Arabidopsis thaliana: one gene and its partner. The protein of the gene in region 1 interacts with the protein of each later gene in a pairwise test. Each region holds a gene or a part of one and is shown on either strand. Other genes may lie near its edges.

Region 1 (16,612 bases):
GGATCGGATCCGGGGGCTACAAGAGTGGTTGGCACATTTGGGTACTTAGCACCAGAACTCACAAAATCCGGAAAACTGACAACAAGCACCGATGTTTATGCGTTTGGAGCGGTTTTATTGGAAGTAGCTTGCGGAAGAAGACCTATCGAAACAAGTGCGTTACCAGAGGAGCTTGTAATGGTTGATTGGGTTTGGTCAAGGTGGCAAAGCGGAGACATTAGAGATGTTGTGGACAGGAGATTGAACGGTGAGTTTGACGAAGAGGAAGTGGTTATGGTGATCAAATTAGGGCTTCTATGCTCAAATAATTCACCCGAGGTTCGACCTACAATGAGACAAGTAGTTATGTATCTCGAAAAGCAGTTTCCGTCGCCTGAAGTTGTTCCTGCACCGGATTTTCTAGATGCAAATGATAGTATGTGTCTTGATGAGCGCAGCGGTAGTGCAGGCGAGTTTGAAGATTTTGTGGATTCAGCTAGGTTTTATAGCGGACCGAATGAAACTACTACTTCGTCGATATTTTCCTTCTCCGGTAAAACAAGAACTGATCCAAGATAATTGGTTCTTTTAACCATGTTTTAGTAACGTTTCAAGCATAATATTTCACCATGAAAACAAGTAATCTGAATGTTAAAATGTAAAATATTTTTATCATATGCTGTTGCTTAATATTTTGAGTTGATCGTTGGTCTCAAATCTTGTGGTTAGCGTAACCTGATTTTGAACAATTCATTGCATAAGTTCAAGATTACAACACGAAATAGAGATAAATCATTTTTCAGTCATAGTCTCATAGAACAAATATCTCGGAACAGAGAACAAGGATTCTTCTATGAGAAAAAAAGAAATTTATAAAGCTCAAATAAAAAGAACATAGACGAATAAGGTTTTGTATATAAAAAAAGGACATAAAGGAACAAAATTAAATGCATTTAAAAAAAGAACAACACTAGCATAAACTATTAGTGGGGGTAATTTTGCGTGTCTATGTTGTTAAAATAAGAGAGTAGCTTCCCCTTCTTAACCATGAAGTAAGGAAGCTCGACATCAGTACTAGGTTTTGCAGCGGACTGGCTCGAGCTTTCAAGTGTGTCTCGAGGGGTAACATCAACATAACGGAGGATGTCATTGTAGATGACATAAGACCCATTGTGACAACGTGTCACATAGAAAAATTGCAAGAACTTTCTCTCTGTTTTGTCGTCTAGAGTCACGAAACCGCAAACCATGATAAACATTCTATCTTTAAAGGATCTGCTGATCTGATAATCCACACTATTCAATATAAAATTAGAAGCCCTCTTATGCTCATTTGAGACCCTCTTGTTGATTGCCTGCACCAAAAAACTAACCCCTTAGATTTATTCCACTAAAATTTCTCTAGAAATACATTGGAATTAGGAACTTTTGCAACTTACATCGAGGCCAGGCATCTCGACCATTGTTCTACCAGAAGTCGAAGTCGGTCTGCTCATAATACTTTCATTGACATACATCAAACCAAGTTCCTCACGCATAGGCAACTCGTAGTAAACCTTGACAAATCCAGCTGCAAAATCTGCTTATATATATAGTCACACCAAAACTAAGTTAGTAAGTTTTGTAATCTCATGAAGCTAAACACTTACTATTCTAAAATTGAATATCAAACACAATTTATACAGCTGTTTACCGGATTCAGGAACAGAAGGTAATGCTGGTATTGAATCGATATAGCGGAGGAAATCATTGACAATGGCATAAGACCTATCTTGACGACGAGCTAAATACAAAGATTGAACAAATCTCCTCCTCACTTGTTTGTCTTTACAAGTCAAGAAACCAGTAACCATGATAAATGCTCCATCTTCAGAACTGGTATTGCAACTCTGAGCAGCAAAACTCATCACATCAAACGAAGCACCTTCATAGTCGCATGAAACGATTTGCTCCTGAATTGCCTGCACCATCAAAAAATTGTTTGTCCTTATAAATCGTTTACAGCTTTTTTCAAGTTTATACGTTTTGAAAACGTTAAAAATATAACTAAAAGAATTATTGTTATAAAATATAATTACTCCCAACCAGAACATCAAACTAAAAACAGAAACTCATGAGAAAGATTTGATCTGATTAATGACAATACCTCAGGCGATGTAAAAGACATCATTGTACCATCAGGACCGGGTCTAGTCATAACACTGTCGTCGGCATACCACATCATCTGAACTACCTCGGGATAGACTCCTAGATTCAGGAAGTAAGATTGGAGAAAGCAATTGGCTAATGCTTCGGAAGTATTTAAGTTCGTGAAGTGGGATTGAATAAAGCCATTGGCTAACAATACGGAAGGATCAACATCTTTGATCATGGAATCCATATCTGCACCAGTAATTATGCCCTAGGGGAGACGAAGAAATATCCAAAGTAAACCCTAGCTAGATATCAAAATCTCTTAAAAACAAACTTATCTCTCTGTTGAGATCAACCGCTGATCTATAGGCTAAAGGAATCACCGGAAGAGAGAGAGAGAGAGGAAAGAGGCGGAAGTTGTGACTTGTGAGACGGTTTGGATTTTGGAAACCTACGTTCCATTGAACTTCTTTATATATTGGTTTTTCATTATGGGATATAGTAATATCTTTATAAAAAAAAAAAAAAAAATTATATATATATATATATCTTTAATACATTATTAAATTAAATAATATACGGATAGGAATTACTATAAATCTTTATAAAATAAAAATAAAAGGAGAAGTCCCTTTTATCTAATTTGGATGGTTAATTTGTGAATTTTCCATATTTATCTAATTTCGATTTGAAACATATCCAACGTTAAGTCAGATTCTTGTGGTGAAATTATTGCATCATAACATAAAGTCATGAGAGTAGGAGAGAAAGTAATAAGTGGCAACATCAAAACGACGACGTTTTTAAGCTAGTGCGTCAGCAACAGTTAAACCATATGAAGTTAATGGTCTGTGTTAATGAAGACAAAAACTATATCCTCAGGTTAGCGATAACTCGGTCCGAGTCGACTCGGTCCGACAAGCGATTTTCGTGACTCCGTCGTCACCACGCCTATGTTAAGTGAGTAAATCCGACTCTTCTCCGTAGAGATTTCTCCTACTTTCAGGTGAATTTCTCCTCCGATCTCTAGCTCCGTTCAATTTTTTTGATCCATGAATGAAACCTTCTCATTTTCAATCTCTTGGCTTATGTGAAAAGATTCGTGTTATTGTTTTGTTTGGATCAGCATAGGGTTTAAATGCCTCTCCTTTATTGCTGTGATCAACATGGTTTCTCGAATTCTAGTTTATAGAGTTTTGAATTAATTTGATAGAACCAAATATAGATTCAGTGGCAATTGTTTTCTTTTGCAGGCTCTCTTGTGAATTTGGAAGACATGAGCTTTGTTTTCCGGGGAAGTAGAGGAGATTTAGAAAGCGGATTCTCGGGTGGTTTTCTACCCGAAAGACGAGCTATGGTATGCTTTCTTGAAAACATATACAATGGTTTTTGTTAGAATGATACTTATTGCAAGTGTCTTTTGGTATCAGCGTGTTCATGGAGCTCGACCAGTTAATTCTAATTCCCTCGCTTTTCTGGTTACAGGTAAATTCAAACTTTCACCTTCTATGTTATCTTCAGTTGTGATGTTGTTAATACTTGTGTTTGGTTTGTGTATTTCAGTTCTTTTGCTGTTTATGATTCTCAATTCGCATCAGATGCCTCCTAATTTCCTGGTATGATTAAATACGTGAGTTAAAGTTTTTTCCTTTTGAGTTAGTCGTCTTTCGGGTGTGAGTTTGACATTTCCATTAATTTTGTAGCTGTGGCTTGTGCTTGGGGTGTTTTTGATGGCAACGACGCTTAGGATGTATGCTACTTGCCAACAACTTCAAGCTCATGCTCAGGCTCAGGCTGCAGCAGCAAGTGGCCTCTTTAGCCATACTGAGCTGAGGTTGCATGTGCCTCCTTCCATTGCTCTTGCTACGAGAGGGCGTCTTCAGGGACTTAGGCTCCAGCTGGCTCTTCTTGATCGGGAATTTGATGACTTAGGTCAGTATCATCCGCTTGTTCCTTTTTATTAGTCTATAGTTTAGTAGTTTGCTTTCTATGGTTGAAGTCTGAGACAAAAGTTGTTCTGCTGCAACAGATTATGAAACTTTAAGAGCACTTGATTCTGATAATGTTTCCACAACTTCTATGAGCGAGGAAGAGATAAATGCACTTCCAGTTCACAAGTACAAGGTGTTGGATCCTGAAAAGTGAGTCAATATTGTACCTTGTTTCTCTTTTAACAGTTTAAAATGCTTTCAAATGTGGAAACATTGAGGAATTAAGAAAATAGTAAGTTAGGATGATGTGATATAGCAACTTGTATAGACCTTAACTTCCTTAACAGGGGAAGGTGGGGTGGTAGAATATACAACTTAATAAGTTAGAAACTGATATTGTACTTAGGTTTATTGTTTGCTTTGCTAAACGGAACATGTAAGGTATTGATTGTCCATTGAGTTACTAAAGATTTGTTTTTCAATAGAATCTTCTAAAATCATGAGTTCCGTTGATCCCATCACTTCTTTGGTTAATCGTCAGGCGCTAGTTTTATTGTGGAATGAACATTTAAAATTTGTTACTGAGTGAAACTTTTCTCAGTTTTCATAGCTCAACGCCTTTTTGTTTTCTTTCTAATTATTGTGAATGAATCTGTATTCATGGTTTTTGTCTTGCGTTCGCTTTTGTTGACAGTGGTTGCTCTTTGGCAAAGCAAGCGTCAACCTCATCCTCAGCTGAGGTATATGACATATTTACATTTCCCCCCACCCCACACACAAAAAATAGCCGATATACAAAAATCACATTTGAACTGGTCAATACTCATATGCTCGGTAAAAAGTTCTTGCTAAGTGGCTAACAATGTCTTAATTTTTCATGTCGTTTTCCTCTTATTCAAAGCAGAAGATGCTAGATTCTGCCAATGAAAGTAAAAAAGGAACAGAAGATGAGCTCACATGTAGTGTTTGCCTAGAACAAGTTACCGTAGGGGAAATCGTTCGCACCTTACCTTGTTTGCATCAGGTTTCCATTTTTACTTTTATCTTAAACTGAAAATCTTCCAGCTCTTTACTGTGTCACGACTCAGACATATATCCGTTTGCTCAGTTTCATGCAGGATGTATCGATCCATGGTTGAGACAGCAAGGAACATGTCCTGTCTGTAAATTTAGAGCTCATTCAGGATGGCAAGAACAAGATGAGATTGATGATGATGCTTCCGACATGGTTTGAAAAGTTTGGTTTCGAACACTTGTTTATGTTATTAATGTGCGTGCGAATTAAACCCCAAACAAATCATGTAATGGTCAATAACTCAATATGATGTAACTGATGACTCTCCCTTTCCAAAAGTTTGATTTAGATTCATCATGAAATAGTAGTGACAGGTCTTTTGCATTCGACTTATTTAGCTTTGCCTTTGCCTTTTCCTTTGCCTGGACCTTTCTTAGCGTCTAGCTTAGCTTGAATCCTAGCAGCTGCAGCAGCTTTTGCTTCTTCTCTCTTTTTCTTATCATCCTCTTTCGCAGCTGCAGCAATCTCTCTCTGCTTCTTCAGATCTCTGCAACCATGAAGCAAAAAAGTTTTCATATTTACACACATGATAACAAGTCAAAAGTTAGGTCCAAATGGTATTTATAATACTTACTCTAGCCTGGCTCTCTCTTCAGAAACACTTCCAACACTAGCACCTTTCCTCGGTCTACAAGCAACCAATTCCACCTCGAAAATCAAAGTTGCACTGCAATTACCAAAAATCTCAATTACAAAAACAAAAAAAAAACTGTCACACTCCCTTGAACGAGATGCAAGAAGTTTGGAACATAACATACTCAGGTGGGATGTCGGGAGGAGACCCGGCTCTTCCGTAAGCATATTCTGGCTTACATGTAATTTTTGCAACTTCTCCAACCTGTAAAAAAAATCAAATCAGTTGTATATAATAACTGAAGCGTTCAGATTATAAGGATAGAAGAAAGACTCAAAATTGTAGAAACCTTCATGGTTTTAAGAGCAATGTCCCAAGAACGGATAACACTGCCTGTTCCTAACTCAAAGGAGAAAACAAGATTGTCTTCGCGAGTAGTGTCGAAAACCTTTTCGTCTTCAGCCAAGATACCCTCATAATGAACTAAGTTAAAATCAAACAAGGTTATGGTCCTTCATCAACACATATAATTAGGAGTAGCATAAGCAGTAGATGAACAATATATTGACCCTGATCACTAGTCAATCTTAAGAACATACCATCGACAACAGGAAGATCATCAGAGGGTGAAATAGCATCAGGTTTGGCACTCCTTACAATCTTTTTCAAGACGCCACCATCTCCACTCAAATCGATTGCATCACCCATAGCTTCAAAGGTTCAAAGAAACCTAATTCACATAAAAAACAAACCTTTTCATATAAAATAACAATTACTGGATAACTGGAATATAAACAGATACGTTTCAGTACTCATAAACACATACACAATTACATCAACTAAAGTGTAGAATCATTTCTGAGTGAGTTTATCATTATCTCAGCTCACCAACACAAAATCAGTAAAATCTTATAAATTGAGTGAATGGATAGTTCTGCAGATAAACAAATATATGAATTCAAAATCAAACAGCAGACGAATCGTAACTAAAGGTGTAAGCTTTAGATTCTCGAACTCACCCGATTCGAAGAAAGATGAATAGTATTCGATCCGATACGAAAACGGAAGAAGCAAATGTGTAGTGACGAAGTGATAACCGGAAAGAGATCGCCGTAGAGATCGGTGGCCATAGACTGTCCAAAGAGTATCGGATTTTTCCTAGAATCGGCTTCTTCTTCTTCTTCTTCTTTCTCTAATCCGATGCTTTTGACGTCACGTGTTATTGTTCTCTAGGGACCGGTGCTAAAATTCATATTTGTAGCCCATTAGGCCCATCATGTTTTCAAGAGGTCTTATCTATTTAACTGAAGAGCAACAACAGAAGTTAGCCCATTAGGCCCATTATATTTCTATTGGCCAATATGCTGCTCGTTCTCTTATTTATTTATTTTTGTCTTAAGACTAAACAAATCTCACGTCAGTTGTCACTTTTTAAAAAATTATAAGTTGTAAATTTGTAATCTCCAATAATTAGGAGTGAACTTAAAGTACAAAAGAGTCCCCAAAGTGCAATTTAACAGTGAAAGTCAAAACGGAATATCGTCGGCGTGTTGTTGTCTAAGAAGAGAGAGCTGATAAACAAATCAAAATCAAGCATGCTAATGAACAATCAATTTTTTTTTATAATCATTTATCATAGATCCCTTCCGATTTGTGGGGGATGGCTCATAAAGTCTAGTTTTCCAATCAGTGACTAAACTATTTTAATTTGTCTCTTTATACATAGTGGAATTGAAATATACTTATTATATACTATCTTTTTTATAATTGTTCAATGCCGCCATTACTCTTTTCTTAAGTATACACAATTTAGGAAAAAAGTGTTATTCACCGTCGCAATGATCAAACATCCACCATATATTGAAAATTTTAATAGGAAAATTAAATCGGACCCATTTGAATCTCTATATGTTTAAAGGCAGCCAATTTCTTCATAGAGAGGTGTAGGTATAATCCATAAAATTTGTAGACTATAAATAACGACATGACTTGAATATTTAAACCCTTCTTGTCAAACTTGATTAGTCCCAAACTTGTATGTGGTGTGCTATATACATGAATAACAAAAATATAATTTAGGATGGTAGTTGTACATAATTCAAAAACTGATGTGAGCAGATATGTTGAGATAGTGGTCATATATATATATAGAACACCCAAAATTCATCTGTATAATCATTGCCAGAATAATTGAAAGATTCTTAATTAAAAAAAAAAAAAGAGATCATTGAAGGTCAAACGTTAAAAAACCTAAATTTTTTGAAAACCTACTAATTAATCGTAATGTCACCACAAAGCTAAGTATCAAAAGTAAAACAATAGCTACATCGAGAAACTCGACGATTAGAAAAACACGAATAATGTAGTACAAAGGAACAAAGAGAAAAGATTCCAACACACTCAAATATACACCTACATAATTTATTTTTTCGATTGTATCATGTATAAATGACAAATGTAAAAGGTATTCACATGTTTTTTTAAAAAAGTTCGAGAAATTCAGATCTAAGTCCTAATTTTTGTAGACATGGGATCATTCTTTAATTAATATATTCCTTTTAAGAATACCGGGTCCTCTAGGTGGACTCGAACTAGATAATTCTCTTCTAAAGAAACTGCTAAACCAAAAATCACTTAATCGGATGACGAAAACATATAGTTTAAAGTACCAATCATTCTTTTCAATCTAGCCTCCCAAATGCGAATCCCAAAATTGTTGTGCTACTGGAAAATATCATTGAACGCGATAGTTGCCTTGCACTTGTAAGTGAAAAAAAAAACAATAAAATACCTCTATGTAAACAAATAAGTTGATGAGAACTATCTAGAAACATATTTTCTATAAAATATCATCACTTCTTCAGCAGTAGCTCGATGGGGAGGACTCTAGCAGTAGTGACATTCTTTCTTAAAGAAACTCCATCGTTCTAGCACCAGCTCTGTTTATTTAATCATTTATTTATTGTAGCTATTAGCCTATTAAGAACAATAATTAATCTGGTCATAGTGATTACAATGGAAATTGCGGGACCAAATATTACGTAGTGGTTTTATAAATCTGAATATGTGTTCTTGTTTAAAATATTTCTTCTTGTAGTATTTAAGAGGCAGCTATTTCATGTAATGTTGGACTACGTAATCCAGAGCATAATCCATTGTATAAAATAAGTGTCTTCATATTTATGTAAGCTAATCTTTGTTTCTGGCTAAAAAGAAGAAGATTCTTTGAATTGTATTACTTTAAAAAGATAATCTTTTATACTTCGCATGTTCAATCCACTATAGTATAACAACATTATTCTTTTAGAACATTTCGAAGTTACCATAATTGTCCATTGACTTCAATGATGTTCGAAAATCCTAATCACATTTGATTTTTTTTAGATTTGAACCCTTTTGATTATATTTTAATAATCTTTACTCTAGTCTTGACACATTTAAGTCATAACTCGTGATCTGAACATATCGGCGTAAGACAATAATAAGAAAAACGAATCTAATTCACCATTTTATACTAATTGCTTTCTATCCTCTACATGTTCAAGTGCATACACTGAAACTGATGAGTGATGACCAAAAGCAAACACAAACACAAACATTCAAATCTAAATTACAACCAGAAGTAGAATCATTTATGTACATTTTGTGTCTAATCTACTCTTAAAATAAAGTTCAAAACAGAAGCAAGAAAAAGAAGAGAAAGATAGGGTTTTGACGTTGATTTAGGAGTGGTCAGAGTTGTTATTATTATGATCAGTCCAGCAAATAAGCATAACGACGCATCTCCTCATGATGTAAAAGCGAGCTCTTTGTTCTTTCACCAATCTCCCACACTTCCTCGTGAAACCGTATTTCCCCTGTTTCTGTCTAGAGGAACGCGTGGTGTTCAACGCGCCTCCGTTGTCTCCAAGACTTTCCTTTTTCGATAGCTGCAACTGTGCCGAGTTTCTCAGTCGAGACATTTGCCTGAAGATTCTTAGACTTCTGATCTTGCTAGGAGACTGATGGATTTGAGAGTTTTCTCGAATATGGGATTCAGCAAAGTTAAAGAGAGAGTTAAGGAAAAGAGTGTAGGGGGTACTTCCGCATTTATAATGGTTAACAGTTAAATATCCTTTTGAACACACACAAAACAAACAAAAAAACGGTTTGACTAGAAAGAACAATTAAAATAACACTAAGTAATGAGCTTTCATTTGAATATTAAACGCTAACTTTATTTCCCCAAAAATATAGTCTTGTTTTTTAAAAATATGGGATTATTTAGAGGCACCTATTGCTGAAAACCTCAATAACTCACGTAGTAAAAAATTTAACCAAAAAAAAACTAAACATGCAAAAAACAAATGTGAAAAGTTAAAAATCCAAAGAAACAAAAAAAAAAAAAAACGGGTACAGTACTACAGAAGTCAGAAAATAGGAAAAGCTTAAGCGGAAAAAGAGAGATTTTAAAGGCATCAAAGCAAATCTAAACTCTCACTGACCTTTTTCTCTGCAACTGTAACTGTTTATTTGCTTTCTCAGTACAAATTCATTATTCCACCAACAACAGTCATATTCACTCCACAACATAAGGACAAGAAAAAACAGAGGTCCAAAAAAAAACTAAGACTTATATAAGAATATTGGTACACTCGGATTAATTTCGTAATCGTATTGATGATTTATATTCTTGTAATTTTCAGAAGTCATTATCGCTTAACAGTTGCATTGAATATAAAAAGCAGAGACGTATCTATAGAAAATCCATATTAGTCAAACACCAAATCTTGTTCCAATCATTGTGATCAGGATGACAATCACCAATAACACTAAGTCACTAATCCGAATCTCTTACTGTATACTTCATAGATGCTAACCATTACTAATTATCTCACGAGTATCGTACGAGTCTCCAATTTAACCTAGCCCCTGGGTCACTAGATTTTCGTAGATTAAAGTAGTGAACTCAACAAAAACTATTTTGATTAGCAAAAGTGTCTTAGGAGGAGTGGAGGACCGAGGGTTAAGAAAAATAGTAGTATGTGCATACACCGATAGTTGAGGCCCAAAATTAAAGGCCCAAATTTACAAAGGCCTTAATTGTCCAATGCTATTAATTGGGATAAGCATAAAATTAAACGACCAATCACCAGATTAAATCCCTAAGATTCCAAATGTGCGTAACATTACCTTTAGAAAAGTTTAACAACGTCTAAATAATGATACCACCATTCACAACGAAAGTCTTTACATCTTACGATATCACTAAGGTCGACGTTTGCAACTTAAAACGCACACTTTAAATTACAATAAACGAATTCACAGACCACCCAAACTTTAACAGCATAACCGGCCCAAAAACTCGTACTAATGATAATCTTGCAAAATTGCTTAGTTTAGTAATTAAGCCCCAATTTTGACGTTAGACCCATATCGGATAAAAACGCGTTTTCAAACCTAACTATAATTTGGGTAGTCTGAATTAATTTTTATCCAAGTTTTTGACCTTCTAGTATTATTTTACATCTTAGCCAACCATTCCATTGATGATTATTTGTAGATAAACTCATTTGTTTGGAATATTGAAAAAAGGATCCATGACTCAAACCTTCATCACTTGCTTCATGTTTGGAGTAACTCATCATGCATATGCTCGACAAAACAAACTAAAACCTTTTGGTGTTGTAATTTTTATCCAAGTCCACATATCAGAAATTCACACATCAGTGAGATCAAACGTTTATAATTAGGAAGCAAGTTTGATTTAATTAGAATTCTCATCTGTATAAATCTTTGAAAATCAAGATTACCCACACACAGTTTTGTTTTTACGTAGATGTGGACTTTTCCATCAATAAAATGGTATCCATGTTATTAAAAATTCTTAGTAGATCTTAAATGTTAATACAAATACATGAGCGAATCTTTGCAGCAGAGAACAACTGCACAACAAGCAACGTACACAAACTAATCTCTTTCTCATATATAAACCTTTCTCATATGTAAAATTTCGATTTCATATACAGATTCAGGTAGATCATAGTTCGAGTTGGCACTACTACATTTAGATTCAGATTTAAGACCCTAAACAAAACAATAAGAAATAAAAAACAAGAAAAAGAAATGAGATTCTTCTCAAATCCGATTTAGGAATCAAATTCGAAATATATGTATAGATCCAAAGTCGAGAACTCTTATAAGAATTATACAAACCTGTCACATACATCACATCATCATCTACTACATTAGAGAAACATATATAGAGATCTAATCACATACATAAAGAAACATGGACACGAAAAACAAGGGGTTTGGTTTCACATGAAGATGAGTCATTTGATTAACCAGTGGACAAAGAGAAGAGACATAACCAGATGTAACCGAACATAAAACAACAGACATATACATGCTCCTTCATACATATGTCCAATTCCTCCAAACCCTTTCAGTCATTATTATATAAATCAAATTTATGCATTTATGAATCACCTTGAGTCTACAGAAACAGGTCTTATATACTTTGTCGTTAGAAAGAAAACCCTAAAACCTTTTTGGAAATTTTCAGGATCTATCCATCGTGCAGCAAAAAGTTTTTTTAAAAAAAAAAAGATCTATAAGCAAGGGTTCACTTAATCAATTGAGAGTAGTATATACATATTCGTTTTTCAAATCATTCATCATCGTTTTGTCCACAAATATGTTTATACACACACAAATCTATTATATATATATGTGTGCTTATATATATATAATCATATGCATACCTGTGAAATAAGTTTCACCTCAAGTTATCATATCGGAGGATTCTACATATGAGGATCTGGATTTCTGATTAACCACATGATGAAAATGGAAAAAAAGACCCTAGATAAGTAAGCCATTTAATTGCCGCTGCAGCATCATCAAGATTCTCAAACCAAAAAATAAAGGCTCAAAAGAAAACCCATAAGAGAATCTGATTTCTGAATCTTGAAGATGTTGCAATAGCAAACAATGACTGCCACTAACTTCAGAATCTGAAGTCATCAACATGCTAACCCTAATAGTAAAGACTAAAGAGATCTGAAGGAGAGGAAGAGATTTAGGGTGAAGAAAGTAGGAAAGGGTAAAGTGTTTAAATAGAAGAAAGAGAAAGAGATCAACGGTTGAGATTTTCTTGAATATTAGAGAGAGAGAGAGAGAGGGAGAGAGATTAGGGAAACAGTTGCACATCGTAATCGAAGATACCAAATATACCAAAGCTCATTAACACTCACTGTGGCCATAATTAATTAAAAAGGCAAATCTGAGGGATAAAAAGAGAAAGGAATTGAAGATAGAGTAAATTAATGGAGCAAGCAAGAGTGTTAAAAAACGAAGAGAGCAGAGAGATGCGTTGCGTAGCCCACAAGCATTAAGTTTTGTGGATCGATGGAATTGACACATTTGACAGCTCCTTCATCTCTCTCTCTATCACTCGTCACCATTTAGGGTTTAGGGTTTTCTTCAGACGTTTCCTTTCTTTTGGTCCCTCCTCTTACCGTTTCTGCTTCTCTGTCTCTCTCTTTTCTTTTTTTTCTTCATATTTAATTATTGAGTGTTTGAAAAACTTTTTGGGGGTTTTCACATTTTCATGTTTTATTGGTCCTTTTTCGTTTTTCTAAAAAGTGATCATCTTTGCTATTTGGTCTCATCGAATGGCGCTTTTTACCTACAACTTATCTTAAGCCAATATCCAAATAAACAACACTTAACAGAATTATATATTCGAGAGCTTTAATTTGTATATATCCCATATTTGATGAAGAAAGAAAAGACTACTCTCTTGGCTATCCGTTAGACGACAAATTATGCAATAGTCACCAACTTTAATTTGTGTCATATCATATCATACCTATAATAAAAATTAAAAGGCCTGAAACATTTTTTCGCATATATAAAGCCTGTTAGTTCAAGCAAATTGAAATTTCTGAATAATTCAGTGAGTTCCTCAGCTATTTAATATCTTCATCTGATGTCTCCTGCTATAATTAATCAAACAGTTTTGTAGAATCACTCTAACACATAAAAAATAATGTGCATATTTGACTTCATTTAAAAACTAATCGATTTCGTCGGATCGTATGAGATCCCTTGTCATTAGGCTTACTGTTGTGCTGAAAGCTTCCAAAGACCTATTATATCGGCGTCTCATTTGTGATCCTGCCTACGCAATTTTTTGGAACTTGCTGATTTAGGAGAATTGTATTGCAAAAAGTTAGTACTTATTTAAAAAGACTAGGGACATAGATGCAATAAATTTAATCTTTATTAATTAGTCGGACTTTTTTTTTTGGTAAGTATTAATTAATCGGACTTGAAACAATGTGATTTACACTCTACAATTTTTCATGTATATATATAAATATTGATCAAATGTTGAATATCTATGTAAATTATGGTCATAGGAAAAACATTTAGCAATTAGTTTTTACAAATTGGTGTGGACACTTTCCTTTGTTTGCCAACTTAGCGCTAAATGGAGCGATAGCTCAAACAACTTGCCTTATGTAGTGGCATTATATTTGGTGTTTTGGTATTTAAGGGATTCTCCTGCAGGTTCAATTTCTCTAATGATGACAAAAAAGAATTAAACCATAATACGTCAGATAATTAGTTGGTTGAGCCCTGTAGGCTAATTAATTTTCATTAAATATACATACATAATGATCCCTGAGATATGGACTCGTCTAATAGTTCAGCTATACACAAACAAATATGGGAATATAGCTTTAACAATTGCATAACTCCAGATCATTGCTTAGTATACCATAAACTCGTGTACTGTCAGAGAAATATGGGTGAGAAACGAGGATTGGTATTGGCACAAAACCCTAGTGTTGCCCACAAATGAAAATTTTATATTATTGTAGAGATTTTTATAAAAATATCAGTGCGAGTTGCAACGTACCAAGTTGAAGAATAGAAAGAGTAAAAAAAAGAAAGAAGAAACACGAAGATAGAGAAGATGGGACATTGACGTGGCTGCATATGCCATATGGTACGGATACAATGAGAAGTGGAGCCAAAGAGCCTACTACTCCTCCTCGTACGGGACCTTTTTATTTCTTTTTAATTTTTTATTGTCACATCCGTCTCTTCATGTCATTATGTGTACACCACCAATATTTCCGTATTGTTTTCTATAACTATACCATAAATCCGTAACTATAGCATATTGGTGGCCTAATGCAAAGTTGGCTCACTAATGAATAACAACAATCCCAAATGATTTTGTTGTTGCTTTAGCTCTTTCTTGTTTTTTATTCCTTTTTTTTGGCAAGAAATGACTACTAGGTTAAGATTTTTGTGAATACACACTAATTCCTCGACTTTCACTCTCTAAAACCTAATCGCCGCTCTTCTTCAACTTACCGTCTTGGCTAGATCTGACCGGCGCGTGGTGGCTCCTAAAGCGCCAGCGTCGGTCCCCTCTCTTATTTCTTGTCATTGCTTTCTTCGGCTGTGAAGCGTGGTGATTTCGGCGAGGTGGATTGGGTTGTATCGAATCTCAAATCTATCGAGGTTTGGTTCTATGAGACCGAAATTGACATGCCTTAAGGTAGATGGTGAAGATGGAGTCGTCGTTCTCGCCTCTGCCTCATGGTGTGGATCTTCGTTTTGTCTCTGGTCACGTGTTTCATTGCATTGGGAGCACCGGAGGAGGCTCTGGCCTTCTTCCTTCACTGGATCTGAGCAACAACGGCTCCGTTCTCGGTACCTCGGTCCCTCCCTCGTCTCTCATGCTTCCTCTTTGTGTTCATGTGTTTTGGTTATTTGAACGGTTCTGGTGACTAGCTTGATCTCTATTTGGTTGTTCGACTTGTTTACTCGTGCTCCCTGGTTCTAGTGGTGGTCTTTATGGTTTCTTCCCGGTTCGATCTTGTGCTGCTCTCTTTTGAGATTGGTTTCATCCGGTTGAAGATTTGTTTCGCTCCTTGTTTCTACAGTTAAGACCTGATCGAGGTTTGGTCGGTTCAAAGGCTTCTAACGAGGCGTTAAATTGTCGCTGAGTCGATATCGCCGTTTTCGGGAGTAGTAGGGGAATTGATTTGCTTTGCCTTGATTCTCTCTTGCCGGAATAGTAGCTTAGGTTCACTTGGTTGTGAAAGGTAGTATTGCTTCACTATAGGAGGTTTCGCTAGATGTGTTTAGTGTTTGGCTTTGATCATTTGGTTCAAGGGAGCTTTGTGTTGGCAAGTCTTTATCTTTGGAGTTATTTTTAGTCTTGTTTCTGTTTCTATCTTATGCTTCCCTTGTTTGAGCTTAGTTTCCGGGGATTTACTCGTTTTCCGCCGGCTTTGTTTCTGGAAGAGATTATCTCTTGCCGGCTTTATATTCCAAAAACGCATCTTACCTTATATCTTTCAATCGTATTATCTAATGGAAAAATTCAGACGAAAAAAAAAAAAAAAGGTTAAGCTTTTCGTATATTCTACAAACCCTTTTCATTATTCATTAATGATATACAAATGCATATAGAAAAAGACTAACTATATCATACCCTATGGTATAGATACAAACACTAGCTAGAGTCTCAAATATTTTGAAAGTTTTTTTGTAAAAGTATTGCTAAACGTATTAGTTCATAACAATGTTGAACGTTTAATATATATTCGTAATTGATTTCTAATGTTTTTTTCTCAATCAAAAACCATGATCGATGTACTAGACGCACTTACTAAAAAAGGGTATTAGTTGTAAAAACACGTGTTATTCCCACATATCCCTAGTAGCTTAGTATTTTTTATATTTATAAATCTAAAGTGATGGGAGCCTATATTATGCGATGACAACAAAAAGAAAAAGCTTAGGATAACACACATAACCCTAACAAAACAATTTCTTTTGGGAAATGGCTTTGTCCATTTTCAAGTAGAATTTTGGTACTTGCCGAGAAATATAAATGATAGAGGGTTT
Region 2 (17,502 bases), on another chromosome or scaffold:
GAAGCATCCCCGCTGCTCATCGAAGGCTCTTCTGACTATAGCTACGCGATCAACATCCTTACCAACTCGAGCCTCGCACGAGTCCTTGTACTGTATGTAGACAATTGCAAAATATGTGCGGTTGAATACCAAATCCACATCTTGGGGAGTAGTATCTATAGCCACTTGGATAATCTTCAAGTTGGACAGGTCATCAAGATCCCTAATGGTGCCCCTATTAGTGGTGGCAACTGCAAGTTCCAAGTAGAGACGAATCCAGTCATTGTCTTCTTGCAGCTCATAATAATTCAACTGCAAAAAAAAAGAAAAAGCTTATGGAAAACATCACTCACAAAAGCAAAACTCACAGGTCTTAATCTTACCAGCTTTGAATGTTCAAAAGGATTCTCTGGGGGCCAGTCAAGCATGGTATCTATGGGGGAGAAGTTTTTGTACAAGCTGCTGCTGCATCTCTTGATTACATCTATGGTGGTTTCCCCTATACAAGAATAATAAAAAAATTAGCAATGTTTTACGTGAGACTGATGATTTAGTAGGATGGTTTGCTTGTTGTATAAGGGCATCTCCAACCACAACACTAAAATGGTGTTAGAATAACACTATATTTGGTGTGATTTTCACACTAAATTCTTTTTCATCTCCAACCACAACACCAAAAGTCACACTAAAAATACTATTCTCTATTATTATATTATTAACCTAAAATATGAATACTTTAAGAATACTTAATAATATTGAAACAAATGTTAGACAACAAAATATTACATTAAACAAATTTAATACAAAATAAAGAAACACAATATATTATTTAATTAAACACAACATATTATTTTATTCTTCATTAATTAATATAATATTACAATCGATAAACCAAACATAATAAAAATAAATTACATCGTACTAATTCTCAGAATTAGTATATTGCGACCACAAATGTTCAATTAAAGCATTTCTAAGTTCAATATGAGCTTCTCGGTCTTTAATTTGTCGGTGCCGAGCCAAAAATTCTTGAAATCGAGTATCATCATCACCCGTCATCTCAACTTCTTCAATTGGAACTTCGACCCGTTCTTCAATTGGTGCATCAATATCACGCTCATCTTCGATGATCATATTATGCATTATGATACAAGATGTCATTATATCATGTAATACTGTTTTATTCCATAAGCGTGATGGCCCCGCCACGATTGCAAACCTCGACTGCAAAACTCCGAATGCACGTTCCACATCTTTTCTACAAGCTTCTTGTTTCATGGCAAATAATTTCTTTTTGGGACCACGTGGATCATGAATTGTTTGAACAAGAGTGGACCACTTTGGATATATACCATCAGCTAAATAATAACTCATATTATAGGGTTTTTCATTGATAACATAACTAGCGGGTGGAGCAGTACCTTCGGCTAGATTAGCAAAAAGATGAGATGCCTCTAGCACATTAATATCATTATTAGATCCTGGTAACCCAAAATATGCATGCCAAATCCACAGATCATAATCAGCTACAGCCTCTAGAATAATAGTAGGAGATCTACTACGACCAGCATATTGTCCTCCCCAAGCTGTTGGGCAGTTTTTCCATTTCCAATGCATACAATCTAAACTACCCAACATACGTGGAAATCCTCGAGATTCGCCAATGTGAAGTAGGCGTGCAACATCATTAGCGTCAGGTGATCGAAGATAACGACATGCAAACACCTCAACAATGGCACGACAAAATCGTTTCAAACTTTCTAGAGCTGTAGACTCTCCTATTTTGATATACTCATCGGTGGAATCTGCTGGTACACCGTACGCTAACATTCGAAATGCGGCAGTCATTTTTTGCAAACCAGACAAGCCAAGTTTACCGACTCTATCTCTTCTTTGGACGAAGTAATTGTCATGTCTTTGTATAGCATCATAAATACGAAGAAACAAAGAACGACTCATCCGGAATCTTCGTCGAAACATTGTCTCAGGAAACACAGGTTTCTCTGCAAAATAATCGTTGAAAAGATTGCGAGCAGCATTTTCTCGATCACGATTGATAACTACATGACCAGGAATAGATCCACCATGCGAACCTTCTGAGTTATATAAGTGTTGAGAGCAAAGAAAATTATTGTTAGTAGTAATTTGAGATACCACTTGCTTTTCTATATCATCTTAATAATTATTATCTGAAGAAGAAGAAGAAGACGGAATATAAGATGAACTACCGTAGTTAAAACTCATCTTCTATGAGAAGAAATAGAAGATGATAGTAATATTTATTTTAGTTCTAAACATATTGCCCATTATATAGAAGAGCATGGAATTGATATATTCATCTTATCAGAAAAAGACAAATTGATCTTAACCGTTGAATTTTTTTACCAAGATCTAACCCTTGCACTGATTAGTCGTTTCATGTCTTTTATCACTGGTCACCTCATGAGAAAAAGATGAGTTCATCTTAACCATTGAATTTTTTTTGAAGAGAATCTAATCGTTGCATTGATTAGTCATTTCATATCGCAAATCAATTATCACCTCATGAGAAAAAGACGAGTTCATCTTAGCCGTTGAATTTCTTTGATCAAGATCTTACCACTGCATTGATTAGTCATTTCATGTCTATATCAAGTATCACTTCTTTAGAAAAAAATAAGTTAATCTTGACCGTTGAATTTACCAAGATCTAACCGTTGGTATTGCTTTATATTCTCTATATAAATGTATATTACTCTATGAATAATCACACATCTCCAACTCTTTTTCTTACTTCTTATATTTTTCAAAAATGAGTTCAAGTCGCTTTTTGTCATATTCTATTCAAGAAGATATACAATTGTGTCATGTGTATCTCGATGTTTCCCAAAATTCAACGAAGACCAAAAAGATCTTTACAAACTCGAATGACGTCAATTCTTTCTGCAGTCTCAAAGCTGAGAGGATGCGTTAACCAAATTGAGAATAAAAATCCTAGCGGTGCTTCTGAAGAAGACATTGTAAGTACTCAATTATAAATTCTTGTGTTTACTAACTTATCTTTATTAAATTATTTGTACATGCTAACTTATTTTTATTTGTTTCTTGTAAATATGTAATCAGTTAAACCAAGCGAAGATGTTATTAACTCAATATGAAAAATACAAGAGAGGATTCAAATTTGATCATGTATGGCCTATTCTTAAAGGTATTGAGAAATTTGCTAATGATAACATGAAGACACCCGCTGCATTCCAAGGAGAAGGTCGTGATGTTACGTCATCTTCATCATTTTCAATCAATACCGAGTCATCACCTTCCCCTGGTATGAATTCAATTGATCTAAATATGGATAGTGAAGATGCCAATTTTAGTTTATCTTCAAGGCCTATGGGTTTGAAAAAAGCAAAGCGAAAACAACAATCTGAAGAACAGTTTAAACAACTTTTGGAGCAAAATGATAAACTTATCAAAGCTATTACTAAAGGTACTTCTGAAAGAAATGAAATTCAAAGGCAGAAGATCGAGGTAGCTAGAATGAAAGAAGAGAATAAAATATTATTTGCAGATTTGAATTCTATAAGTGATCCATCCTCTAGTGCATATATTGAAAATGAGAGAAAAAGAATTTTGGAAAAAAGAGCACAAACAAACCAACATGAAGAAGATGGTGAAGGCTCCCAATATCATGGATCTCAATATCGAGCATCTCATTATCAAGAAAGTCCATTTCATGGAAAACAAGTTCAAGGAGAACCGGATCAAGGTGAAGACCAAAGATCACCAAATAACCAAGAAGATTTTACCCAATATTATAATTATCTTAGCGGAACCGGAAATAATTTTCCTTAACCATTTGTGAAACTTTTGTTATGTTTTTAAAACATATCTTGTTGCATTTAGTTTTTATGTTTGTGTGGTTTTAATTTTTTAATTATGTTATAAATGTATAATTTATTTTATTGTATTTTCAATCAACTTCGGTATTAGTTTTAATATTTTCTACTAATCCATCATTTTATTAAATTAAAGATTACAAAAATAGTACTTATAAATTATTTTTTAGTTACAAGCCTTAGTTAGATTACTTAAATCTCATTTACAATCATATATAATCTATTATAACTAAATAAGCTATTTTAATATATAATAATGTTAACACAAAAGAAAAAATTATTATTTTAATATTTGACGTGGATACAGTAGTGCACCAAATATAGTGTTACACTGTACAAAAAAAGAGAATCACACTATTATAGTGCAAATTATACCGTCTGATTGGAGTGAAAAAGTAAACATGCCCACGTTATTTTAACGTTTTCCCGTGGCGTTGGACTTGGCCTAAGCACCACCACAAATAGTCTCGTAATCACCTAGAGGTCTAGCAATTCGGCACGATAAAGCTAATTTGCCAGAGGATATTTCATAAACTGAAGTCTCAAAATGTTGAAGAGCGGTGAGACCAATGGTGTCCAAAGTAATGTGGTAAGAGCAAGCAGCAGAATGCGTGGACTGGTTGTATTTCTTTACGCTACTGAGCTCTAAGTTTTTCTCCTAATATTGATCAAGAAAGAATTGTAGGGTAAAAATACATAGACAAGGAAACAAGAAGAGCATGCATTTATAGAGCGAGTTTAATCAAACCTGGAGCAAATTGTACGGATGAAGGCCGAGCCTGGCATAAAGGATAACCAAGGCAGGACATGGAGAAGACTCATCGTTACAGATTGTTTCATTTCCACCAAAGTGTGGTACTCTCTTTATAAAGGAACTCTAGAAGCGACAAGAAAGAGGGTTAGGATGTGTGACGATGAAAGACATATGTGAATCGCTTTACAACGACTAACAATGATGAAGAATATTACCGCGGATCTATTCACTATCCTATATCTTTTCCGAGGATTGCTCTTCTCCCTCTCCTCTGCCCCGGCCACCATCGTCTCGAGAGCGGCTGAGGTTTTTTTTTTTTTTTTTTTTTTTGGGTCGATTTTAGGTTTCTGATTATATTAGCGACCTAACCATGGTTGAAATCATTGGTTTGCAGGCATTCACCACTGATGGAGGTATTGCTAGCTAGACAATTGGTATGAGTCGGTTTTGTTTAGTTAAATCAATTTGGTAAAACAGACAAAGTTGAGTTCTTTCTAGCACTTGGTCGGATTTCTATTTTGCGGTTTATGTTAAGAAATATGTAAAATTTACTGCTTAAACTAGAAATCGATAAATCATCTCGCATTCTAATTTTTTAGTTATTGATGTGTTCTTTTTTAGAAACGAAAAGGAAACTACAAGGGTTGAAGAATATCTCCCTATCTTTACCCTATGTTAAACCAAATTCAAACACAACTTAAAGTCAAAAAGTAAAATAAAGCATTACAGACGCACCAAATAACTTATAAGTTTATTCGAAAGCGGATCTTGCCTTGTGACTAGCCAACCCAACTGTATTTCTATACATTAAACCGCCTAGGATTAGGAAACAGCTGCCGTTTGAGACATAGGCTAAGCAAAAGTTGTTCACTCTTTTGAGACATAGGCTAAGCAAAAGAATATATACAAATTTGAGCAAAAAAATATTAAAAATATATTTTTAAAAAAATTCTTATATATAATGTATATATATAATTGATACATTTATGCAATTATTAATTTATAATATTGATGAGACCATGTATTTATATAGGATTTTCAAAAAACTTATTATCTTATTAATATTGATTTATGTCACTTTTTACACTGGTCCCAAGAATTTATTAATTTATAGAGGTTTTACTGTACACAATTAGTTGATATTATTGTTTAGGTGATATTTGAAAACCTGTTTGGTGACCAATTGACCCGCAGTATTAAGAAGTAGGTCATAACCTTAATGATGTGGATTAATTTCGTCTATGATTATATTTTCTTTAAATTGTAATCTAATATAATTTGTTACATTTCTCAATGTTACAATTTATGTTGTACTTCTAAAATAATAGTATAGGTTCAAAACCAAAACGTTATCATTTGCTGTGTGGGGCATACACATCATGCGACATGGTTAGTGTTTCTTAGTTTTGCATGGATGTGAGGAAGAGTTTATTTCATTGTGCTCACGTTACCTGTGCGCGAATTTGTTGATAGGCGTTATGGAATGAATCTCCCTAAAGATGCAGATATAAATGATGGAGTGTTGTCTCATAGTTGCTAGGCATTTGTAATGAGATATGCATTGTCGTTTGTTAAACAATTTGGCATACCAAGAGAGGGGGAGATGTATTTTAACTTCAATTTAGAAATGTCATGATATCCCGAGAAAAAAAAAAGGTACTCCATAGATTAAATCTTTTTATATATATAATATAACAAGCATTTTTCTAAACTATGTCTAATAATGTGGTGTTTGACATTCTATTTTAATAACACATGTACTTTTCATTAGTTGTAGTTTGACTAAAATTAGTCATTAGATATATCATGTATTTTATAAGAATTTTTTCCAACTTTAGTTTTTTGTACCATAATTGTTGCTTCTTTAATTAATTATATTAATTTATTTAAATGTACCGTCCACAATTTCTCTTCCTGAAAATAACTATTTTCCTATCCTATTTCACTATATCTCAAAATCAAAATTTTAATTTGTTTTGTGTTAATTCAAGGTAAAATTTTAACATAATAATATTTTAAAACTATATTGTAACATTTAACTATACAAACAAAAATAATTCTCTAATTTAATAAGAATTTAACTACATCAATGATGATCATTTAGTAAGATGGCTTGCTTGTTGTATAAGCACCACTACAAAAGTCTCGTAATGACTTAGAGGTCTAGCAATACGGCACGATAAAGCTAATTTGCCATATGATATGTCATAAACTGTAGTCTCAAAAGGTTGAAGAGCGGTGAGATCCATGGTGTCCAAAGTAATGTGGTAAGAGGAAGCAGCAGAATGCGTGGACTGGTTGTATATACTTATACTACTGAGCTCTATGTTTTTCTCCTAATATTAATCAAGAAAGAATTGTATGACAAAATACATGCATAGACAAAGAAACAAGAAGATCATGTACATATAGAGCGAGTTTAATCAAAGCTGGATCGGAGCAAATTGTAACGATGAAGCCGAGCCTAGCATAAAGGATAATTAAGGCAGGACAAGGAGAAGACTCATCAAAGAGCTTTATAACCAAAATTGCCGATTTCTCTATTAGATAGAAATTGATGAAAGGACATTTTGTTCTTGGTCTGCCGTTTACAAGTAAACTCTCCACAAAAGGGTACATGTGGCGTTACGAGTTACGACCAGAATCACAGGTTCACGTATCAACAAAAACAACGTATAAATCAAGATATTTGAAAAGCCAAAATAATAAACGAAGCTATTAAATTATTCTCATCACTCATGCATGCTGTACTGGAAAGTATAAATTCGTTTTCAAGTCATGTCATATTGTTGACAGGTGAAAACCCCGTGATTAAGATTAAATCTAACCACAGATCCAAATCATCTAATGTAAATGTATCCATAAACCATAAAGAAAAACAAAACGCAGTGTCGTGCTGACCATGGTAACATTGCATCTAGACGTGTCATAAAATTCCCGTGTACGTTCTTGCATAAATTACGAAATCACAACATTAGAAGAACCAGATCATGGAGATTAATTATTTGAAAAAGAGTTTATTATCAAAAGAAACCAAAGATAATTGTCTTAACTACAATGAAAACATAAAATTTACTTAAACGGACAGTCACATAAAATTAGACATGCCGTGATTTTATTTTTCGGTTGCGCGGTTACAAAAAAAAGTGATCCATCTAAGAGAAGAACTTGTAGGTCTTGGCGTTGATAATGATGGTTCTGAGTCCTCCAATTGGGGCAAGGATCGTCAAAAGAACTCCTACTATGATGCAGAACTGTATTTTTTCATAATCCACAACACCAACAAACCAAAACACAAAAATTGTTACTTTACAAGAAAACAAGAGCTATAGATTATGTACCATTGATTACTAAAGAACATACCCAGTTAGCTGTCCAAGATAGACCAAACCTCTTTGGTTTCTTGAGAACGAGCCACATAATGCATGGAAGCTGCAGTTACAAATTAATATGTGTATATAAATTCACAACTTTAATCTATGGATAAACCAATAAAGAAATGAAGGGATTATTTGTACTATACGTAGTAAGTTGTTGGGGCAAAGGCGAATCCTCCAAAGAAGCCGAGTAGTCCACCGAAAAACGGGACGCATATCGCAACAATCATCGTGAAAGCTGCACGGTCCAATGTACATTGATGAAAATGAGATTAATTAATGAATGGAGTAGGAGGATGACGTTACATATGTATAAATGAGGAGTGGGTTCTTACCGACGTAAAGACTACGAGTAATGAAGCGGAGCTTGAAAGAAGGATTGAAATTCATCTTTTTGACCAAAACGGTTTCGAGCATGTCAAAAACTGGCATTGCAAATATCTGAATCCACACAAAGGTGTCAATATTCATGAAATAATTCTTACTTCAATCAAAAATATAGAAGTACTAGAATGTGGAAGAATACCTGATAGCTTCCAATGACATGGATAACCACGAACATGTTAGCCATAGCAATAAGCCAGATAGGCTTCTCCAAAGTGATGAGGATGTTGTCATCAACGCTGTTTCCAAAGATATAATAGCCGAGGAATGCTACAGGGAAGTAACAGATGGCGACTACAATGTAGGCTACAATAACTCCTCTCCACATTGGGACCTTGGATGGCATCTCCGGAGTCGAAGGGATTGTGGCCTGAATCTCCAACACAACGTTGTGACCTGCATAAGCAAAAGCCACATCTCCCAACGCATTCAAGAAGTTGAATACTTTTCCAACATCGGTTGATGCTCTAGGAGAGTAGTCCACATCTGGATGTACCCCTTTGTGCACGGATGCAGCCCAAGCAATAGTTGAGTAACTGTACAGATCATAAAAATCATCAGGCAATAAAACCTAGTTTTCTACATATTTTGGGATTATGCTAAGTTTTTCTTCTAATAACCGGAAAATATACAACAATTTTGATCCCTAGCCTTGAACCACAAGGCATGCTCTAGGTTAATTATTCTAACTTTCTGTTCAAGTTATAAAGTAAAACCAATATATGTGTGTTGAAGAGATTTACGTTAAGGACATAACAGCCGCGGCAAGTGAGATGATGGAGATAGAGTTGAAATTGGGAAGGTGAGAGATAACAAAGTGGACGGAAGCAAAGATCATGATCCAAAACGTAGTTCTGATCTCTTTGCAATCGGGACAGACTAGTTGATGGACTTTCTTGAGGGATGCTCCTCCTGTGACCATATAAACGATGTCAACACCGACCTCCACGATAAGCTGCTGCGGCACGACGATCCATAGGCCAAGCTTTTCACCAAAAGCGTGTTGACCTAGCTCGTGATACCTATCAAGCCTCTTCCCTGGAACAATCTCATGCATCTCCACCATTTGCCACAGTGTGTACAACGTTATGATCCATGACATCACCATAATCGTCACTCCAGGTCCCCTGTAATACATCAAAAACTCAGATCAGATCATGGATTAAAACATAAAGGAGATTAAGATTATCAGATTCAACAAATTAGTATACCATCCGAGATTGGACATAGCGTAGGGCAAGCTAAGAACACCAGCACCAACCATGGCGGTGACATTGTGAAAAGCAGAGTACCACCACTTAGCGTTTCTGGAAGATGTGATCGGTAACCAATCGTCGACGTTCTTCTGCTTGGCCGCCGCAACCTCACTCGCTGACATTTCACTGTTCCCCATATCTCCTTGTGATATAATCGAGAGATAGTGTTTGGTTTTTGAGAAAGAGATTAGATACAATTAAGAAGATTTTAGGAGGATAAAGATAAGAGTGATATTTAAGAGGAGGATAGATATTCTCTGACGGTTTAGGATTTTACCTGCTTAATTATTCTATTCAACGATTTGTTAGCGTTTATGAGAGTGTAATAAATAGGTGATGAGATTCTGACTTTTCCGAATTTGAAGGGAATGTTTGTTAGTTTGTTTGGTAGTTTTGTTTAGTGTGTTTGGTCTTTTTTTTTGCCCGAGGCATAAGGCACCATCGGCTGGAAGCTGTTTCATGCTTAGACCAATTTAAATACTAATTTACCCCCAATCGTTCTTCTTGATTCAATGATTCTCTTTACATTGACATGGCTTTTTTTTGTAATTTCGTACTTTTTTCTCCCTGTATTTGCATGATTTATTTTCTTTTTTGGATAGAGCTGAATTTTTCTTTTCATGGTCACCTGATCTAACGAGTGTTTCGCTTTTAAAAAATAAAATAATATTTATTCGATAGATAAATATATCTTTCTCATTTAATGATTATTTTGAGTTGACCGACAAAAAATTAGCTGTTTTTTTGTTTTTCTTTTAGTAGAATTTATTTATATCTTGATATATATATATATATATATATATATATATATATATATATATATATATATCTAAGAGAAAATATGTTAAAAATCTATATATTTAAGCAATAACTATATTATTAAATTACTAATAGTGGCATAAAAATGCTAACATATTATTAGTTAGACAAAACGCTCTTAGATATATAAGGTGATGAGTTGTATATATTATTATTTTTTGTTAATTTTGCATATTTGTAATGTCGATGATGAGAAATTGAGAATGATCAGAGTATAAATACTCCAACTAAATCTTGGTCGTAGTGACGTTTCGCTAGCGTAATCTCTCTTTTTGACACTGTAAATCAAAATCACGAAACGTCATGACATCAAAAGGAAGATAAATATCTATATATTTTCTTTTTTCATCTTCTATTACAAAGTCAATGAAACAGACGAACTATTTATGCTTAGCGTCACTTGCATCCCGTGATATTTATGAAGGAAAACTAAAATTGTTGAAGCATAAATGCATGGTTATTTGTCACAGTATTCCCAATTGATTAGAGGGTCGCTCGAACGAATCAAGGGACCGCTCCGATTAATGATATGGTTGACTATAAAAAACAATTATTGTTGGTAGTACAATGTCACAAAACGAAACAAGCGTAATAATATAATTTCAAAGCGTGACAAAAAAAATTGTATGTCGTTTTTTATCAACAGTAATTAATCTACTCAACTATCCTTTGAAAATGTTGAATAAAATGTAAAAGAGAAATTAGGTTGAACCGTTGAAGCGTATAGTTTTTGATTACTCAAAAAAATTCAAGTGTTTCAGGTAAGGGGTTCTTTTCTTGTTGAAGGGTTTTCACAGTCAAAGGTGAAAGATGTTGATTCTTTGTCCAACCAAAGGGCAAAGAGGCACAACTAAAAACAGATAAACCCCAAAAATAAGCAACCAAGAAACTTATAGACATTGTGTCAAACCAATACTGTCTATAATAAGTAAAACAAAATCTTTCTTTCACCCTCATATTTGTTTCTAAACCTTCTCATTCCACAAAATCTTAAAGAGAGACGAAGAAGATGGATTCTGGACTATCATGGGCTGATCAATGGGATTACAACTCTGATCCTCCTCCAAATTCAAGTAACGAAGACGATAAGAAGAAGAAGAAGAAGAAGAAGAAGGAAGATGGAAGCAAAAGCGGTATCGGGAAGGCCATACTTGGATTCAAATGGATGAAACTTGGCAAGAAATCTGATAAGTAATCAATAGGTTATTTGTTTAGTTACAAAAGGGTTATTGATTCATCTGTTCCTTGTGATTAATCCATTAAGTTCTGCTTCTCTCTTTTAACCATTCTTCTGATTGTAATTGTTAAATCTTTAACATTTAGAAAGTTCGTTGGTTGCGGTTGATTGTGTATTTATATTTTTGTTGGTGAGAATTTAATAGCGACCAGGAATTGTGTTTTTGTTTTATTAAAGGTGTATTATAAAATCATTAATCCTATTAGATGAGTACATGTAAAAAAAATCATCCTTTTGAGTTTGTAATACCTAAAATGACAAAGAAAACTTAATGGATCGCTAAACACTCGTAAAAGACGTCTAGGCAATAAACAACGATTCAAAATATCACTATCCTAGTTTACTAAAATCAGCAACATGCAGGATGTACCGACAAGTAACCTCTCACAAAATTCATAAACCATGCCATATAGGCATAGTTTAATCTAATGCCGCGTCACCATCTGGATGCAAACAACAAGCAAAGTGAGATGTTCAAAAGAAAATATCTTTAAAATTGTAATACTCTTTAGCTTTTTGTAAACTACTTTTAACGTAAACGTGAAGAAAAAGTTTGACATTTATTCATACAAAAAAAAAAATATATACAAAAGGTTTGACATTTACATTATTATTTTTTTAATTTAATGTTAAATTAGATTTAAAAGAAAATAGCGTTTTTACAACTAGTGCAACGATAGATTAAAAAACATTGTGTTGAATAACGATTAACAGAAAAAAAAAAGATGTTTGAGATGCTTGGATAATGGATTCATTTTAGAAAAATTGCAATCATAATCTTGAATCTGCAAACAATTAAGGCCAATAAAAATTAGCTATCTAGTCCTAGAAAGGAAAAATGTCCTTTTTGTAAAATCAAAGGACCCCTTAAGGTTTTAAAAGCAATGCAATTCATTATAATTACTATTCTCTGTTTCGATATTTAAGACAAGATTTTTAAGATGAAATAATAACGTTTTGTCTCCTGACGAGTAAGAATCTTGAACTGTTGTTGGTCTCCCCACTAGTAGGAATCTTTAATATGAATGTAATCTATTAATAATAATAAGGATAATGATGATGATGACATGAATTAATGATAAATAATATGACTGGTCTTTTGTGATGCAGGAATATGTAGCTATTCTCACCAAGAATCTTCATTGAAGTTATTTTACAAGCGTGTCATGGTTTATCAGAAAGTGGAGAAAGACTTTGTTCGTAAAAATGGAGAAGAACGTTGAGATCTTATCAAGAGAAATAGTCAAACCGTCTTCTCCAACTCCAGATGATAAGAGAATTCTCAATCTCTCTCTTCTTGATATCCTCAGCTCACCAATGTACACAGGAGCTCTTCTCTTTTACGCAGCTGATCCTCAGAACCTTCTAGGTTTTTCAACAGAGGAGACTTCCTTGAAGCTCAAGAAATCTCTGTCTAAAACCTTACCAATCTTCTACCCTCTTGCCGGAAGAATCATAGGAAGTTTCGTCGAATGTAATGATGAAGGAGCTGTGTTTATAGAAGCTCGAGTTGACCATCTTCTCTCGGAGTTTCTCAAGTGCCCTGTTCCTGAATCATTGGAATTACTCATTCCTGTTGAAGCTAAGTCAAGAGAAGCTGTTACATGGCCTGTGTTGTTAATCCAAGCTAATTTCTTCAGCTGTGGAGGATTGGTTATCACAATCTGCGTTTCTCATAAGATCACTGATGCTACCTCTTTAGCAATGTTCATCAGAGGATGGGCTGAGTCCTCAAGAGGTTTGGGGATTACTTTGATTCCTAGTTTCACCGCTTCTGAAGTCTTTCCTAAACCACTTGATGAGCTTCCTTCAAAACCGATGGATCGCAAAGAAGAGGTTGAAGAGATGAGTTGTGTGACAAAGAGGTTTGTGTTTGATGCTTCGAAGATCAAGAAACTTAGAGCCAAAGCTTCAAGAAACCTTGTGAAGAATCCAACACGTGTTGAAGCCGTCACAGCTCTGTTTTGGAGATGCGTTACTAAGGTTTCAAGATTGAGTTCTCTAACACCAAGAACTTCAGTGCTGCAGATACTAGTGAACCTAAGAGGAAAGGTAGATTCTTTGTGTGAAAACACAATTGGGAATATGCTTTCCCTCATGATTCTCAAGAACGAAGAAGCTGCGATTGAAAGAATTCAAGATGTGGTTGATGAGATAAGGAGGGCAAAGGAAATATTCAGCTTGAACTGCAAGGAGATGTCGAAATCTTCGTCTAGAATTTTTGAGCTTTTGGAAGAGATTGGGAAAGTATATGGAAGAGGAAATGAGATGGATTTGTGGATGAGTAATAGCTGGTGTAAGCTCGGCTTGTACGATGCTGATTTCGGATGGGGAAAGCCGGTTTGGGTGACCGGAAGAGGCACTTCCCATTTCAAGAACTTGATGTTATTGATTGATACCAAAGATGGAGAAGGAATTGAAGCTTGGATCACTCTTACGGAAGAACAAATGTCACTGTTTGAATGTGATCAAGAGCTTCTTGAATCAGCTTCCCTAAATCCCCCTGTTTTAATCTAGACAAGAACAAAACTCATTGCATACTTCTTCCAAGAGATTTATATGAGTTAATTTAAACTTGTGTTGCTTCTTAAATATGAACAAAATAGTATAAAAGAATGCATTAAGTACAAGGGAATGAAATCTGAAAGACAAACTTAAAAGGAAAACAAGCTCAAACTCATTAGAAACGACTAATAGATTACTTGTTTCTCAAGATACAGAGACCATCACACTTGGGTTTGAAGAGACATAGCGAAGCAACTCCTCATCGGCTTCGAATCTAGACATATCGTTCTGGTCAAGGTTGATCCAAGCTTCAATTCCATCACCTTCCTTAGTATCAATGAAAGCTACAAGATTTTTGTAGCTCATTCTTGCAGAGGCAACCCACAAAGGTTTCCCCCATCCGAAATCTGCTTCATACACCGGAAATTTGCAGAGGCTCGTGAAGCTAAACGATACAATCTCTCCATTGACAAAACCTGAAGCTTGTTTGTTTAGAAACTCTAGGTGTCCTCTGTTATCTTCTTGAAGTTTCTTCACGTAAACTGCGTCTATCTTTCTAATCTCCTCTCTCATCTGATCCACAAGAGAAGCCTTTTCTTCATCATTTTCATTGATTATCATCATAGGGACAGTAACAGAGAACCTCATGATGTTCCCGAACATGTTGTCTGGTATATCTGGATCTGCTTGTCTACGCAAGTTCACTGGATGAATCAGTGTATAGATCTTTCCGGTTTTATCATCATGGTTTGTTGAAGCCATGAAACGGCTCCATATGAATACCGATAAGACCTCAACACGTGTCGCGCGGATCTTCTTGTTTCCGCTGAATCTTTCTCTTAAAGACTCAACAGAAGATCTCAAGAACACGAAGCGTCTGGTTACTATGTTCTCCTTCGTGATACCTGTAGCCATGTTTAAGTTTTCTATGTCGCACGGAGGAAACATCTTGGCGAGATCAAAAGAAGGAGTAATGATTTCATCAGTCTGGCCACGAGCAAAAGCTGCCCAACTGTTGACGAAGATGAGACCAGACAGTGCATCACAGAGTTTATGAGAAAGGCCTATTCCGAGTGCTAAGCCGCCACATTCAAAGAAAGTGAGCTGTACCGTGAGAGGCACGTCACTCACTTCATGGAATTCGAATGGATGAAGCTTGTTAAGTTCGTTAGGATTTGGGTTTTCTAGAATCTGTGACATGTTGCAATCGGCTTTGGCTTCGACGAAAGACACACCCACATCGTTGCACACAACAACATCACCCGAGTTCTTGATGCGTCCTGCCAAGGGGTAATAGAGATTCAATATTTCAGACAAAGAACTCTTGATGTGATCACTTCGTTCTTTGTCTGATAGATTAGTCTTGTTATGGTAAAAGAAAAGGAAAGGCATGAAAATGGGAGGAGCAAGCTGATCAAGGAAAGAGAGATGATGATGGCATGGAGGATGATTAAGGTTTCGAGGAGAGGGCTTGACGAGTTCCTGAGAAGTTACCGTGATCTCAAGCCCCATTCTTGTTTTGAAATAACTTATAATAATGATGTATGAGAACTGAGCAGACTCATGCTTCGTCAGTAAGATTATATAAGCTAAAGTTATAAGGAGGTATAGTCCTCTTTAATAACGTGTCATGGTGATTAGACACGGATCAGAATTAGACCCAAGTGAACAAGAAAGTTACAAATTTTATACAAAGATTTGGTTTTGGAGACTTCAGCTGGATTATTTTGTCAACATTATGAAACTTGATATGGGGTTTTGGTTTAACCCAGTTTTATACTAACGTTAGGTGGAAAACTATATCTTCTATTTAGACTTGAACAAGTTAATTTGCCGCAAGTGAGTTAAGCAGCTTCACAGGATACCTTTTCCCTCAAGAAACTCAAGCTTCACAGGATGCCTTTTTCCGCAAGAAACTCTTCTATACAAAATGAGTTTAGGAATAAGTACAAACAAACAAAAATTAAAAACAGGGATTCGGTTCGTCAACAATTATATAGTGATAACATTTTCAAAGTATATATCATCATCATCATTAACTAGTTGGGGTTGGTGGTCGATGGTCCTCAACATCTCCTTTAGTCCTTTAGACTAGTCCTTACCAAAAACGTTTGACTATTCATTTTAGCTAAATTATATATTCCGATAGGCTCGTTTTAATTATACGAAATTATACTTTTGTATTGCCATTCATAACAAATTTTATTTTGTATATATATGTTTGTGGTCGATATAGTCAATGGAACCATTAGGTAGAACTTTAAATCAATAAATGATATTTTTGAATTGAAAATTAGGGTACGAATTATTCCAAATTCCCATTCTTCAACTTAATAAATATGGGCTGTTCATCTACTATGAATTAATATGATCATTACGACCAATAGCAACTAACCAGAATAATACTATAGTATATATTCCCTAGAAACCAATTTTTAATTAGTGGCATTAACATATTCATAAGACAATTAATATTTTTATTTTTATTTATACTATTCAACATTTTTCACAAAAGAAAAAATCCTCCGGGGGGAAAAAACATGCTTTTGGATTAAATATTAAACAAAGAAGGCTCGATCTACAATTTCTAAATCTATATATAGTTAGAAATCATTGTAGCAATAGAGTAAACGTTATTTCTTCATGCTAGCTTCATACGTCATAAATTATGTTGGAGGACACACCATGGTGTTGAATTCATCATTTTCTATATAGCTAGTTGCCAATAAAATTATAATATTCGTTATGGAATTTGAAGGCTGAGAAATATTGTTGCTGGAGAGCGAGTTTAGTTTGTTGTCCACGCGAACAGCAATGATTCAAAACAAAAGTAATAGTTTAACGAAAACGTAGGGTTTTGTTGAGTTATGTATCTCAGCTCTCAACACGATCAACGTCACGTTCAAAACATTACATCTGGATTTGATTATTCCAGGATATTAATTAATTAGGGTTTATCCACTATACTCAATAGAAAACGTACAAACTTCTGAAATGTTTAAAGTACAATTACTATTTAATTAATCTTCTTAATCAATTCTTATTACGTTGACTATTGTGACTCGTGAAAATAGCCCGTGGACTTTGGATGAGGTATTTTACTGCAGCTCATGACATGTTAATAGGACTTATCTAATAGACTAATACTATAGATGTTAGAAACTCTAAATACAAAAGGACTTATCTATAAATATAATCGAACTCAACAATCTCAGTGTAATACCATGAATCAACAATCTTAGCAACCTTTATAACACCATGAATTTAACATTATCATCGTAGTCAATAATAAACGTTTTTTTCTTTTTATACATTA

Evidence for each region.
Region 2: the proteins of AT3G55520 (region 1) and LHT2 interact in a protein complementation assay, tested with the Arabidopsis thaliana proteins (one large-scale study listed by BioGRID).

Annotation. Positions count from the first base shown.
Region 1 is NC_003074.8:20,583,965-20,600,576, reverse strand, and holds AT3G55520 (FKBP-like peptidyl-prolyl cis-trans isomerase family protein), read right to left. Parts: upstream 6,917-16,612; 5' UTR 6,712-6,916; exon of another isoform or gene 6,423-6,711; 5' UTR 6,401-6,422; coding exon 6,292-6,400; intron 6,176-6,291; coding exon 6,042-6,175; intron 5,957-6,041; coding exon 5,877-5,956; intron 5,786-5,876; coding exon 5,693-5,785; intron 5,606-5,692; coding exon 5,449-5,605; 3' UTR 5,278-5,448; downstream 1-5,277. Other genes in the region: AT3G55550 (Concanavalin A-like lectin protein kinase family protein), read left to right, coding at 1-558; AT3G55540 (nuclear transport factor 2 (NTF2) family protein), read right to left, coding at 963-1,334, 1,419-1,549, 1,673-1,940, 2,126-2,359; SDIR1 (RING/U-box superfamily protein), read left to right, coding at 3,389-3,469, 3,543-3,597, 3,676-3,728, 3,816-4,044, 4,142-4,253, 4,738-4,783, 4,948-5,067, 5,152-5,277; RTFL7 (ROTUNDIFOLIA like 7), read right to left, coding at 9,415-9,654; AT3G55513 (uncharacterized protein), read left to right, coding at 15,228-15,428, 15,643-15,705. UniProt on the Arabidopsis thaliana protein: PPIases accelerate the folding of proteins. It catalyzes the cis-trans isomerization of proline imidic peptide bonds in oligopeptides.
Region 2 is NC_003070.9:8,643,800-8,661,301, forward strand, and holds LHT2 (lysine histidine transporter 2), read right to left. Parts: upstream 10,117-17,502; 5' UTR 9,763-10,116; coding exon 9,581-9,762; intron 9,497-9,580; coding exon 9,113-9,496; intron 8,906-9,112; coding exon 8,512-8,905; intron 8,427-8,511; coding exon 8,321-8,426; intron 8,224-8,320; coding exon 8,132-8,223; intron 8,041-8,131; coding exon 7,972-8,040; intron 7,863-7,971; coding exon 7,764-7,862; 3' UTR 7,608-7,763; downstream 1-7,607. Other genes in the region: AT1G24380 (no-apical-meristem-associated carboxy-terminal domain protein), read left to right, coding at 2,826-2,978, 3,082-3,810; AT1G24388 (uncharacterized protein), read right to left, coding at 4,300-4,512, 4,603-4,731, 4,824-4,895; AT1G24390 (uncharacterized protein), read left to right, coding at 4,402-4,473, 4,627-4,781, 4,969-5,035; AT1G24405 (uncharacterized protein), read left to right, coding at 11,454-11,639; AT1G24420 (HXXXD-type acyl-transferase family protein), read left to right, coding at 12,888-14,198; AT1G24430 (HXXXD-type acyl-transferase family protein), read right to left, coding at 14,391-15,698. UniProt on the Arabidopsis thaliana protein: Amino acid-proton symporter. Transporter with a broad specificity for neutral and acidic amino acids. Basic amino acids are only marginally transported.